3 linked regions of the Sus scrofa genome follow. The protein of the gene in region 1 purifies or fractionates together with the protein of each later gene. This does not show direct contact. Links are inferred from orthologs where the notes say so. Each region holds a gene or a part of one and is shown in the gene's direction. Other genes may lie near its edges.

Evidence for each region.
Region 2: the proteins of WDR82 (region 1) and CXXC1 purify together in Homo sapiens (affinity purification with western blotting; 7 studies listed by BioGRID and IntAct, with this or other methods). This does not show direct contact. The link is inferred for Sus scrofa from reciprocal best matches to the Homo sapiens genes WDR82 and CXXC1.
Region 3: the proteins of WDR82 (region 1) and PPP1CC purify together in Homo sapiens (affinity purification with mass spectrometry; 5 studies listed by BioGRID and IntAct, with this or other methods). This does not show direct contact. The link is inferred for Sus scrofa from reciprocal best matches to the Homo sapiens genes WDR82 and PPP1CC.

The regions. Positions count from the first base shown.
Region 1 is NC_010455.5:34,409,383-34,413,131, reverse strand, and holds the start of WDR82 (WD repeat-containing protein 82), read left to right. Parts: upstream 1-941; 5' UTR 942-1,264; coding exon 1,265-1,425; intron 1,426-3,749. UniProt on the Homo sapiens protein: Regulatory component of the SET1/COMPASS complex implicated in the tethering of this complex to transcriptional start sites of active genes.
Region 2 is NC_010443.5:99,933,913-99,937,194, reverse strand, and holds the end of CXXC1 (CXXC-type zinc finger protein 1), read left to right. Parts: intron 1-165; coding exon 166-273; intron 274-405; coding exon 406-590; intron 591-895; coding exon 896-1,103; intron 1,104-1,182; coding exon 1,183-1,293; intron 1,294-1,421; coding exon 1,422-1,471; intron 1,472-1,613; coding exon 1,614-1,710; intron 1,711-2,023; coding exon 2,024-2,176; intron 2,177-2,258; coding exon 2,259-2,405; 3' UTR 2,406-2,702; downstream 2,703-3,282. UniProt on the Homo sapiens protein: Transcriptional activator that exhibits a unique DNA binding specificity for CpG unmethylated motifs with a preference for CpGG.
Region 3 is NC_010456.5:32,074,141-32,077,789, reverse strand, and holds part of PPP1CC (serine/threonine-protein phosphatase PP1-gamma catalytic subunit), read left to right. Parts: intron 1-2,988; coding exon 2,989-3,093; intron 3,094-3,649. UniProt on the Homo sapiens protein: Protein phosphatase that associates with over 200 regulatory proteins to form highly specific holoenzymes which dephosphorylate hundreds of biological targets.

The DNA.
Region 1 (3,749 bases):
ATTCAGCCAAATGAAAAAAATTCATCCACAAAATTTATGCAGTCTAGGAGTTCCCGTCGTGGTGCAGCGGAAACGAATCCGACTAGGAACCATGCGGGTTCGATCCCTGGCCTTGCTCATTGGGTTAAGGATCCGATATTGCCGCGAGCTCTGGTGTAGGTCACAGACTCAGCTTGGATCTGGCATTGCTGTGGCTGTGGCGTAGGCCGGAGGCTACAGCTCTGATTAGACCCGTAGCCTGGGAACCTCCATTGGCATGGGTGTGGCCCTAAAAGGACAAAAGACAAAAGACAAAAAAAAAAAAAAAAAATTATGCAGTCTACCGTGTAGTACACCTCAATTTAAAAAGAACGGGAGTTCCCCTCGTGGCTCAGTGGTTGACTAATCCGACTACGAACCATGAGGTTGCTGGTTCAATCCCTGGCCTCTCTCAGTGGAGTAAGGATCCCACAATGCCCTGAGCTATAGTGTAGGTCACAGAGTGGCTCGCATCTGGTGTTGCTGTAGCTGTGGTGCAGGCCGGGAGCTGTAGCTCTGATTCAACCCCTAGCCTGGGACCTTCCATACGCCCCGGGTGTGGCCCTAAAAAGACAAAAAAAAACAAAAAACCAAAAACCCACGAAAACAAGAACAAGCCTCCTGGGGGATAGCCCAAGGGGCAGTATTTGCTCTCACTCGCCCTTTGGTGGGGGAGGCCTACAGGGGGCGCCCCAGTGTCGGCGGCGGGTTGCGATTCAGCACAAAGGCTCTTGCCTCACGGGCACCAGAGACCTTGGGGCTCCGGTGGGAAGGACTTGGGAGTCCCCACCCATCCCGCCCAGCAGCAGTTCCGGGAACCGTCGCCTCCGGCCACCCCGCCACCCAGCCACCCAGCCACACCACTCTCTCTGCCGGCCGCGCTGACGTCACCGCCTCGCCTCGCGCCGCCGTTCTCGCCCCGCCCCCTTTCCCGTCTTGCGCCGCGGTGAGGCTCCTCGCCCTCGGCTTCTGCCTGTCGCCCCAAGATGGCGGACACAATGAGCCGGTGCCGCGCTTGTTGGTCCTGAGGTGATTGTGAGGGGGAACGGTCGGCAAGGCTCCACAGTTCAGACAGAAGAGTGTTGCCCGAGAAGGCGGAGGAAGAGGAGTAGGTGGCCCGACTGTCGCCCGCACTCCCTCTGGCCGCCAGCGCAGCGCCGGTCCTGCCCCGGTCGGCCCCTCGGCAGCCCGCCCGCCCGCCGGGCCCCGCCCCGGCCTTGCGCCGCCGCCTCTAGCAGCCGCCGCCATGAAGCTGACCGACAGCGTGTTGCGGAGCTTCCGCGTCGCCAAGGTGTTCCGCGAGAACTCGGACAAGATTAACTGCTTCGACTTCAGCCCTAACGGCGAGACAGTCATCTCGAGCAGCGACGACGACTCCATCGTGCTCTATGACTGCCAGGAGGGCAAGTGAGTGCGGCGGTGGCCTTGGGCTCGGGTCTGAGTCCCTCCCGCCATCCCCGTCTAGGCCCAGTGCTAGTCCGGAGGCCCGCCCTCCGCCCGGCCCCCTGCCTGTTTTGCACACGCTCCTGCCAGGACCGCGTCCACTCCGAAACTGTCCAGGAGACCTTTTTCTTTCTTTAGAAAATAAGGATAGCAATAATAATAATAATAATCGTATTTATTTTCCCCGCCCCCGACCTTCTCAGCGAGCGCTTTTGCAGCGCTGGCCGAACCCCACCTTGACCTTGACCTTTAAACGCCCGGTCCGCCCACCGCGGCCTCAGCTGGTAGCTTTTCCGCCCCTCCGACTCCCTCGAAGGTGCCGGTTTGCTGTGGCCCCCGCGCGGAACTGCAGAGGTTGCTCTGCTGCCTCATTCAGCAGCGGCAGCTCCCTCTCTCTGCCCTTTCCATGGTGACCTCGATTCAGGCCTGGCACTCCGCCCATCCCCTGCCCCTCAGCTTCCCGCCGCCTTTCTGCCTGAAGGCCGCGTGGGTTGCAGTTGTTAGCTGTCAGGATTTATTTGTTGTGCCTCTTTGGGCCCTCTTTCTTTTCCTTTCTGTTCCAAATAGTTCTCTTACTCCCTCAGTGCCGAAGCCTACGTTTATAGTTAACTTTTTAACAACATCTGAAACTTTTCCTTTTTGCCAGACACGTACAAACTTGGCGGTCCAGTCCTGACCTGAATGTGAACCTCCCAGTAGAACAAAGAAAGCATCGTCTAACAATTTCATGTTTCCTCTTAACACTTTCTTTTAAAGTTACACTTTATGGTCTACTTGGACTTAGCAAAATTCCTAGTTAGACCATGACATTTGTAGGTTGTCCCAAGTCCTCTGGAGACTCATCACACCTGTATCTCTGCAAAATCTTGAAAGCACCGCATTTTGCTTTTTTCCCTGTGCACCTGTCCGCTTTGCCTCACGCATGTAGTCCTTGCTAAATTGTGAGTTCCTTTGGAGTAGAAGCTGGTTTAGGTAGGCTAAATTTGATTTCCCTTCAGCCATCTTCCCCAAGCAGGCTTGTGGATGTTTGGTTTTAAAGCAGGCTACTGGTTTTCTCAGACTTCATTTTGCTATCTAGTTCCAGATCTTATTTTTTGAATCCTTGAGTTTTTCTCTGTTCCTTTTGTCTTTTTTATTTTTGTTTAAACTGATGTCTTCTATAAATTTTTGGAACTTGTTTCTTCACTTGTGAATTAAAGCTGTATGGCGCTGAGCTATAATTTCTCCCCCTTATAACTTTCCTGCTGGTATTGTGAAAAAGTCTTATGTTACTGGCTTCAGGATCTGCCTGAAGTATGTGGAAGAGGGTCCTATAGTGGTGGTTCTGAGAAAAGGGTTGTTATTGTTAGCTGGACCGATGCTGAGTGATTCAAGTCAATGTTACTCATTTCTGTCCAAATCTGGCCACTTACAGCAGCCTGGAAGAGAGAGTAACCTATAAAGCTGGGGATTGGAGTTTTGGAGTCCTGGAGCTGGAAGTAATTTGAAGTTGACTTGCTTGAAATGTTTAGTGCTTGTGCACAGATTAGAACCTCTCCTTGGAACCTGGAGATAGAGATGTATACCTACCTCATTTAAAGGAAATGAAGATGGTGATAGCATTTCTTCACAGTATGTCTCCAAATATGGCATATTTTCCACTGATTGGTTGTAGAAATGACATCGACTTGAAGTGTTGTCTTGTTAAAAGTAAAATGTTAATTTTATAAATAATACAGTTCATTCATTCAGGTAGCATTTTACATAATTACAAACTTACAGAAAAGTTACCATATTGTTTCAGAGACCTCCCACTTGATCCAATAATTGGTTACATTTTGCCCCATTTGTTTTGTCATTATCCATGTGAATGTTTGTTTATATGTGTGTGTCTATATATGCATTTTTGTCTGAATCATCAGTAATATGGAGGTATTAAGGCTCTTTATCCCTCAACACTTCAACATGAATTTACTAAGCACAAGAACATTTTCTTAGGTAACCAGAGTACAGTTATCCAAATTAGGGAATTTGGTATTTATACAGTAGTATACAGTATGCTCTTTAAAAGTTGTATGGATTAATTGTGACCTGTTTCATGTGGTCTGTGGTAAGAGAGTGGCTTGATAAGAGACCTGGGTTCTAGTTTTGCTTTGTGACCAGGTAGGTGTATGACGTAGATTAGATCAATTCTCTGGCCCTTAGGAAGAAAAGTAATGTTTTATTGGAAAGCATAATATCAATATCATATCATAATCAACCTCTAATATCAATAATATCAATATCAACCTCTAATAAAAGAGGTTATT
Region 2 (3,282 bases), on another chromosome or scaffold:
AGCAGGCAGAGCGTCCCATGGTGGAAGGGTAGAGGTTACAGAAGCAGAGAATGTCCATAATGAGGAGAGAGGAGGCAGAGGGTATGGAAAGCTGATTTGGGGACCGAGTGGGTGGTGGGGAAGTTAGGAGTGGAGCAGGCGAATCAGTGCCTGCCTCACTTGCAGCCCTGGATGAGTGACACGGAGGAGTCCCCATTCCTGGACCCCGCGCTTCGGAAGAGGGCCGTGAAAGTGAAGCATGTGAAGCGTCGGGAGAAAAAGTCTGACAAGAAGGTGATGGAGGCAATGGAATTGGGGTGGGGAGGGAGGCCGAGAACCAGGAAGCGGGGTGGGTGGGGGTGTAGGGGGAGACAGGACCTGGGGTTGACTTCAGCTCTGCCCTGACCCGACCAGTCTTCTCCACAGAAAGAAGAAAGATACAAGCGGCATCGGCAGAAGCAGAAGCACAAGGACAAATGGAAACACCCTGAGCGCGCTGATGCCAAGGACCCAGCATCGCTACCGCAGTGCCTGGGGCCTGGCTGTGTGCGCCCTGCCCAGCCCGGCTCCAAGTATTGCTCAGACGACTGTGGCATGAAGCTGGCAGCCAAGTGAGTCATTCCTGGAGGGCTTAGGGGGTCAGCGAGCACAGAGTAGGGCATGACCAGAGCCCCCTTTATGCCGACCAGTCAGTCACCTCACCTGGCCACCTGCCACCATTCAGTCAACCAGGCACCCACCTGTCCATCCAGTGACTTACCCATCCATCCATTTGCTCATCCACCCAGCTATCTCCCATTCAGTCACCCATTTACTTGTCCCTTCCCCATTGCATCACCCACCCATTGGGTGTCCACTTCCTCACCTTGTCGCTGGCCTTCTCCCCTGCCTGCACCGATGCTCTGCCTCCCTGCAGCCGCATCTATGAGATCCTCCCCCAGCGCATCCAGCAGTGGCAGCAGAGCCCCTGCATAGCTGAGGAGCATGGCAAGAAGCTGCTTGAGCGCATTCGCCGGGAGCAGCAGAGCGCCCGCACCCGCCTTCAGGAGATGGAGCGCCGATTCCATGAGCTTGAGGCCATTATCCTGCGTGCCAAGCAGCAGGCTGTGCGTGAAGATGAGGAGGTAAGCAAGCACGGGCACAGCAGCTCGGGGCCTGGTACCAGGTCCTGCCTGGCCTCACCGTCCCTTCTCCCCGGTGCAGAGCAATGAGGGTGACAGTGATGACACAGACCTGCAGATCTTCTGCGTCTCTTGCGGGCACCCCATCAACCCACGAGTTGCCTTGCGCCACATGGAGCGCTGCTATGCCAAGGTCAGGGTGTCGGCCTGAGGGGGCGGACGGTGTGGGGACAGCATTGGGTCCCTGGGGACAGATGTGCCGTCTCGCAGGGGCACACGGCATACATCCACAGTTCCCTCCGTTTGTGCTCACCCCTCCAGTATGAGAGCCAGACGTCCTTTGGGTCCATGTACCCCACACGCATCGAGGGGTAAGTGTGGGCGCTGCTGGAGGGTGGGGCTTGGAGCAGGGGGTGTTAGGGCTGGGGTCAGAAGTGGAACGTTGTGGGGCTTGGGCAAGGAGGTTGTGCCCCCTCTGCTCCCACAATTCCCTTCTCTGCTCCACACCACCAGGGCCACCCGCCTCTTCTGTGACGTCTATAATCCTCAAAGCAAGACGTACTGTAAGCGGCTCCAAGTGCTGTGCCCTGAGCACTCACGGGACCCCAAAGTAAGGGTTTCTCTCAACTCTCCCATCTGCTTCTTCCTCCCTCCCTCCCTGCCCCATAGTCACCCCTTCCTCGCCCTCCTTCCTTCCCTGTAGCCTGCCTCCCCACTCACAGCTCCCTGTCCTCTTCACCCTCATTCCTCTCCTCTGCCTGTTGCATCACCTCCTATTCCTCCCTTTATCCTGCCTCTTCATCCTTGTCCTCCCCTTTGCATTCCTTCCCACCTTCCCCCGAACTCACCACTCCCTCTTCCTCCTCCCTGACCACTCCCCACTCCTGCCTCCTTCCCACCTCCCCACCCCCATCTCCCCGCAGGTGCCAGCTGATGAGGTATGTGGTTGTCCCCTGGTTCGGGACGTCTTTGAGCTCACAGGTGACTTCTGCCGCCTGCCCAAGCGCCAGTGCAACCGCCACTACTGCTGGGAGAAGCTGCGGCGGGCCGAGGTGGACCTGGAGCGCGTGCGTGTGGTAGGTTCTGATGCTGGTTGTGGCCAGGGTCAGGCAGAGGTCACCAGAGCCCCTTCTCACGGCTCCTTCTGCTCCCCGGCAGTGGTATAAGCTAGACGAGCTGTTTGAGCAGGAACGTAATGTACGCACAGCGATGACCAACCGAGCAGGCTTGCTGGCCCTGATGCTACACCAAACCATCCAGCATGACCCGCTCACAACCGACCTGCGCTCCAGTGCCGACCGCTGAGCCCCAGTGGCCCAGATGTCCTCTTTCCCTGCACTCCTGGCGGGAAGGGCCCTGGATCCTCGTTTGTCTGTTCTGCCATTCATGTTTCTCCGGTGGCCCCTGAGTTTCTCCTGGTGCACATCCACCGTCTGACTGCCTGTTTGCCCTCACCACAGGGCCTCGGAATTTTCTCACGTTCTTGTGTATCCCTCTGTTTCTCCATTCTCTGTGCCTGGGAGGGACTGTGGAGTCTGCTCACCCTGGCCTCCCCCAATTCTGGTTTTGTTAATAAAATTTTGATGAACCAAGAAAGTCAACTACTGATGGTCTCCAAGCTTTATTTAGTTGCAGCTGCGTTCCCACGCCCCTGGAGTAGAGTGGCACACTGGGACTCAGGAGGGGCTGCAGTACAGGTATAGGCTGTAAGTATCTGGTTGCCACCCACTCCGGTCTGCAGGCCCCCCTTGGGCCGTGGGGATATGACCTGCTGAGGGAGAGCCCAATGACCTGTATTCTCAGCCTGTCATTGTGGGACAATGTGTATACAGTTGGCGCTCATAACATGTATGATTGATTTATCATTCCTGTGTAAACAGGAATGTTCTTTTGTTTGTTTTGTTTTGTTTTGTTTTTAGGGCTGCACTAACGGCTTATGGAAGTTCCGAGGCTAGGGGTCTAATCGAGCTGCAGCTGCCAACCTACACCACAACCACAGCAACCTGATCCTTAACCCACTGAGGCGGGGCCAGGGATTGCACCCGCCTCCTCATGGATACTAGTCAGGTTTATTAATCACTGAGCCACAGGGGGATCCCCCAGGAATATTCTTGTTTACTCCAATTAATATTTTCCAGACTAGGAGACCCCATCGTGGCACAAAGGAAACAAATCTGACTGG
Region 3 (3,649 bases), on another chromosome or scaffold:
CTCTCATCAGGCAAGTATAATTTGCCACTCAGTCTGTTTGGGCCTAGAAGTGTCCTTGATATAGGTGGCTTTCAGTTGATAGTTTGCCAACTTTTTAAAAAAACCATTGGTAATTTTATTGTATTTGGAAATTTTATTCAAATGTAAATTTCCGTGGAACTTTTTTTTTTTTTTTTTTTTTTTTTAAAGGTTGCATCCTTAGCACGTGGAGGTTCCCAGGCTAGCGGTCGTATTGGAGCTGCAGCTGCTGGCCACAGCTACAGCAATGCCAGATCCGAGCCACATTTGCAATCTACACCACAGCTCATGGCAGCACTGGATCCTTAACCACTGAGCGAGGCCAGGGATCAAACCCGTATCCTCGTAGATACTAGTTGGATTTGTTTCTGCTGTGCCATGAGAACTCCTCAGTGGAACAATTTTAAAACCACTGCTTAACATAATAGACTCATTTCCTAAGTATAACAAGCACCCTCTGTGCCTTTTTTTTCCCCCTCCATCAGCTTTTTGACTGCAGTCCTAGAGAGGTATCTGTTGTTAGATAAAATGTGGGTTGTTATCCCTTTTTTATAACCAGAGCTGTCTGGTCTATAGAAATAGGAAACTGCATTAGGGGTTCTGGCTCAGAACCCAGCGATTTGAAAGCTTGATGAGACCTTGGCAATTATCCAGGAATCCTTCTTGAGCCAGATGCTCCTAGTGGTCTGAAGTGACCTTAGGGAGGAAGTGTAGAGAGGAGAGAAAGCAGGGGCCCAGGACTCAGTTAAGATGCTCAGAGACAACAGGAGGAAGAATCTTTTGATGGAGAAGCTGAGTGCAGTGTGTAACAGAGAAATCAAGAAGGAAAGCAGACCTTAAGAAGGAAGAGAATTTGTCGGCACTGGCAAATGCTGCATTTGAGCAAAGGAAAAATCCAGGAGAGCCATTGGATGGTTTTTCAGAGATAGGCTTCAGTAGAAAATGGAGAAAGAACCACATCACTTTTTTTTTTTTTTTCTGGTCACATCACTTTTATAATAAGGGTTAAGACAGCCCAGCCCTGTTCTTACTTTATTATCATTATTGGAAATTAGAGGTGGTATTTGTGCAGAGGTTCCCCTTCAGGCTTTTGTACAAAGGAATTCTGTTAACGCTTCCAGAACCCTCCAGTGAAGGAAGTATGGGACAGAGAGAATTAGTGCCTTGCAAAGAAATACAGAACAGTGTGAACCTTGGGTGTAGGGTTTTACCCAGATACAGAGAAAAAGAGACTGAGAGCCAAATCTCAGTTTAGGAATAAGATTGTGCTTTGACCTTTGGTGTCTTTTATTGTGGAGGGTATAGGAGACAAAGGCACCCCAGCAATGGAGACATCCCCAACCAATTCAGATAGATATGTACTTCCAGGGTTTATGAGTAGGTTTTTAATGCGGAACATAATTCTATGGAAACAGTGCCATAAGGGCATGCATAATTTGAATCACTCAGTGACTTAAGAATGCATAGGGTACATGGATTAGTGAGGGGAATATAACCACCCTATAAGATCTTTTCTAAGCGTTTGTGTAGCATGTTAGGGATATATCCTGTTGTGCCTGTGATAAGCAGTTTGTATTCCCCTGTATGCACTGTGCTTCCTACAAGAATATGGGGCATGGCTGGGGGGTACTGGGAGTTTCCTGAGAGTGATGTTGCTGAAACTCCGCCTCTGTCTACCAGTGGCCAATAGAAACATGGAGATAAAAGTTTGGGGTGAAGGAGAAAAAGAGCTTTTATTGCTTTGCCAGGCAAAGGAGGCCACAGCAGGCTAATTCCTTAAAGACTGTGCCCTACACTGGGAAGAATTGCGGGGGGGCGGGGGGGTATGTTAAAAAAGAGGAGAACAGGTTTTCAGCTACAGATCAGGATTGGAGCAGACATGCATTCTTCTTTCTTTGTGGGAATTGTAGTCATCAAAGCTGACGTCTGGAGTTCCTGTCATGGCTCAGAGGTAATGAACCCACTAGTATCCAGGAGGACGCAGGTTCCCTGGCCTCACTTGGTGGGTTAAGTATTGGGTGTTGCTGTGGCTGTGGTGCCTGCAGCTCCGATTTGACCCCTAGCCTGGGAACGTCCATGTGCCATGGGTGTGGCCCTTTTAAAAAAAAAAAAAAACCTGACATCAGGAGATAGATCTCTGCACTATCATGATGGTAGTCTTCTGGGTTATTGCCTAGAGTAATAGTACTTGCAAAATAGTATATTAATCAGAGATTAGAACAATCTAGGAAAGTTCCTGGAAAACATGTGCTAATAATCTTTAACCCACAGGCAATTGTGCTCAGGGTGCTTAATCTTTAGATTATGGGTGATTGTGTTTAGGGTACAATTAAGCCAGGGAGGAGGACAAGGAAATAGTCTTGGCTGTTCAATTTTAAGGTATTCATCTTTGAAAGAAGCACAAGGAATATAGTTTTTCTCTTAGGTGAATAAAGATGTCTGCTTTGTTATGTATATCCCTTGAGAGGGAACCAGGATCCTGCCCCAAGGCTGTACAGTCGTTTCTTGACTGTTCCTCCTTGTCTTTGCATCCCCTTCCTTTCCTAATTAGCCGCTATCTGAACCTGTCCCCAGGAGCTTGAGAGGCTCTGGAGGCTGAATGAGGCCCGTTTTCTAAAAACAAGAAATGGGGGACACAGAAAGGCTTTTGTGCCCAGGAGCCCCACAAGGCCCTGCTCAGTTACAGTGGTGGGAGCTGGGATGGGTGTTAACTCTCAGAGGCTTCTTCAGAAGGATTATAATGGCAAGTGTGTGAGTTGCTTTTAATTGCCTTTAGAAATAGGAACCTACCTGTGGGTTGAGATTGGACAAAACAGACTAGATTTCATAGTTGGTCCTAATTCTCTTTTTTAATAAAAGCATAGTTTTTGTTTACTTAAGGTAGTCAGAACCTTGCCTGGGGGGAATTTTCCTTAGATAATGTACCCACAGAACACCAGTCTCTTTTTAACCATCCCCAAATTTTCACAGGTAAAAGAAGATATAACATTAAACTATGGAAAACTTTCACAGACTGCTTTAACTGTTTACCGATAGCAGCCATCGTGGATGAGAAAATATTCTGCTGTCATGGAGGTATGTGGGCTGGTTTTAATTCCACAAAGGTTTTCATGTGAAGGGCATACACTTTACATTTACAAGTTGTCTTTGGAATGATTTCCTCTGTCAGGTTAACTCTCCTTTATTAATGTATTACACCATGGGTCCACTCTGGCATGTCCAGGATAATTTGGATACAAGTCTGGAGTAAGCAATTGACTTGTTACAGGGAGTTCAAGGCTCTGTAATAGTTTGATTTGAAAACAGCGCTGAAAGCATTTTTGAATATAAAATAAACAATATGCTATGCCATGGATCCTCTAAAATACTGAAAATGTGGATAGACTTTCCCTTGGTGTGTTTTTGATCCTCTTTTCAGAAATTTTTCTTAAATAACAGTTACTTTGCTCAGTGGTTGTCCTATGTATGATTAATTATAATAATTGCAAAGAGGATTTCTTTTCATCTGTGGTCAGAAATTAGACAACCATTAAAGAGTCACACAGTGTATTTTAATAAATCCATTATCCCTACCCTCCTTACATACTTAAACTGATTTTGGCAGAGGTGGGCATGTGATTTCAAACTCAGA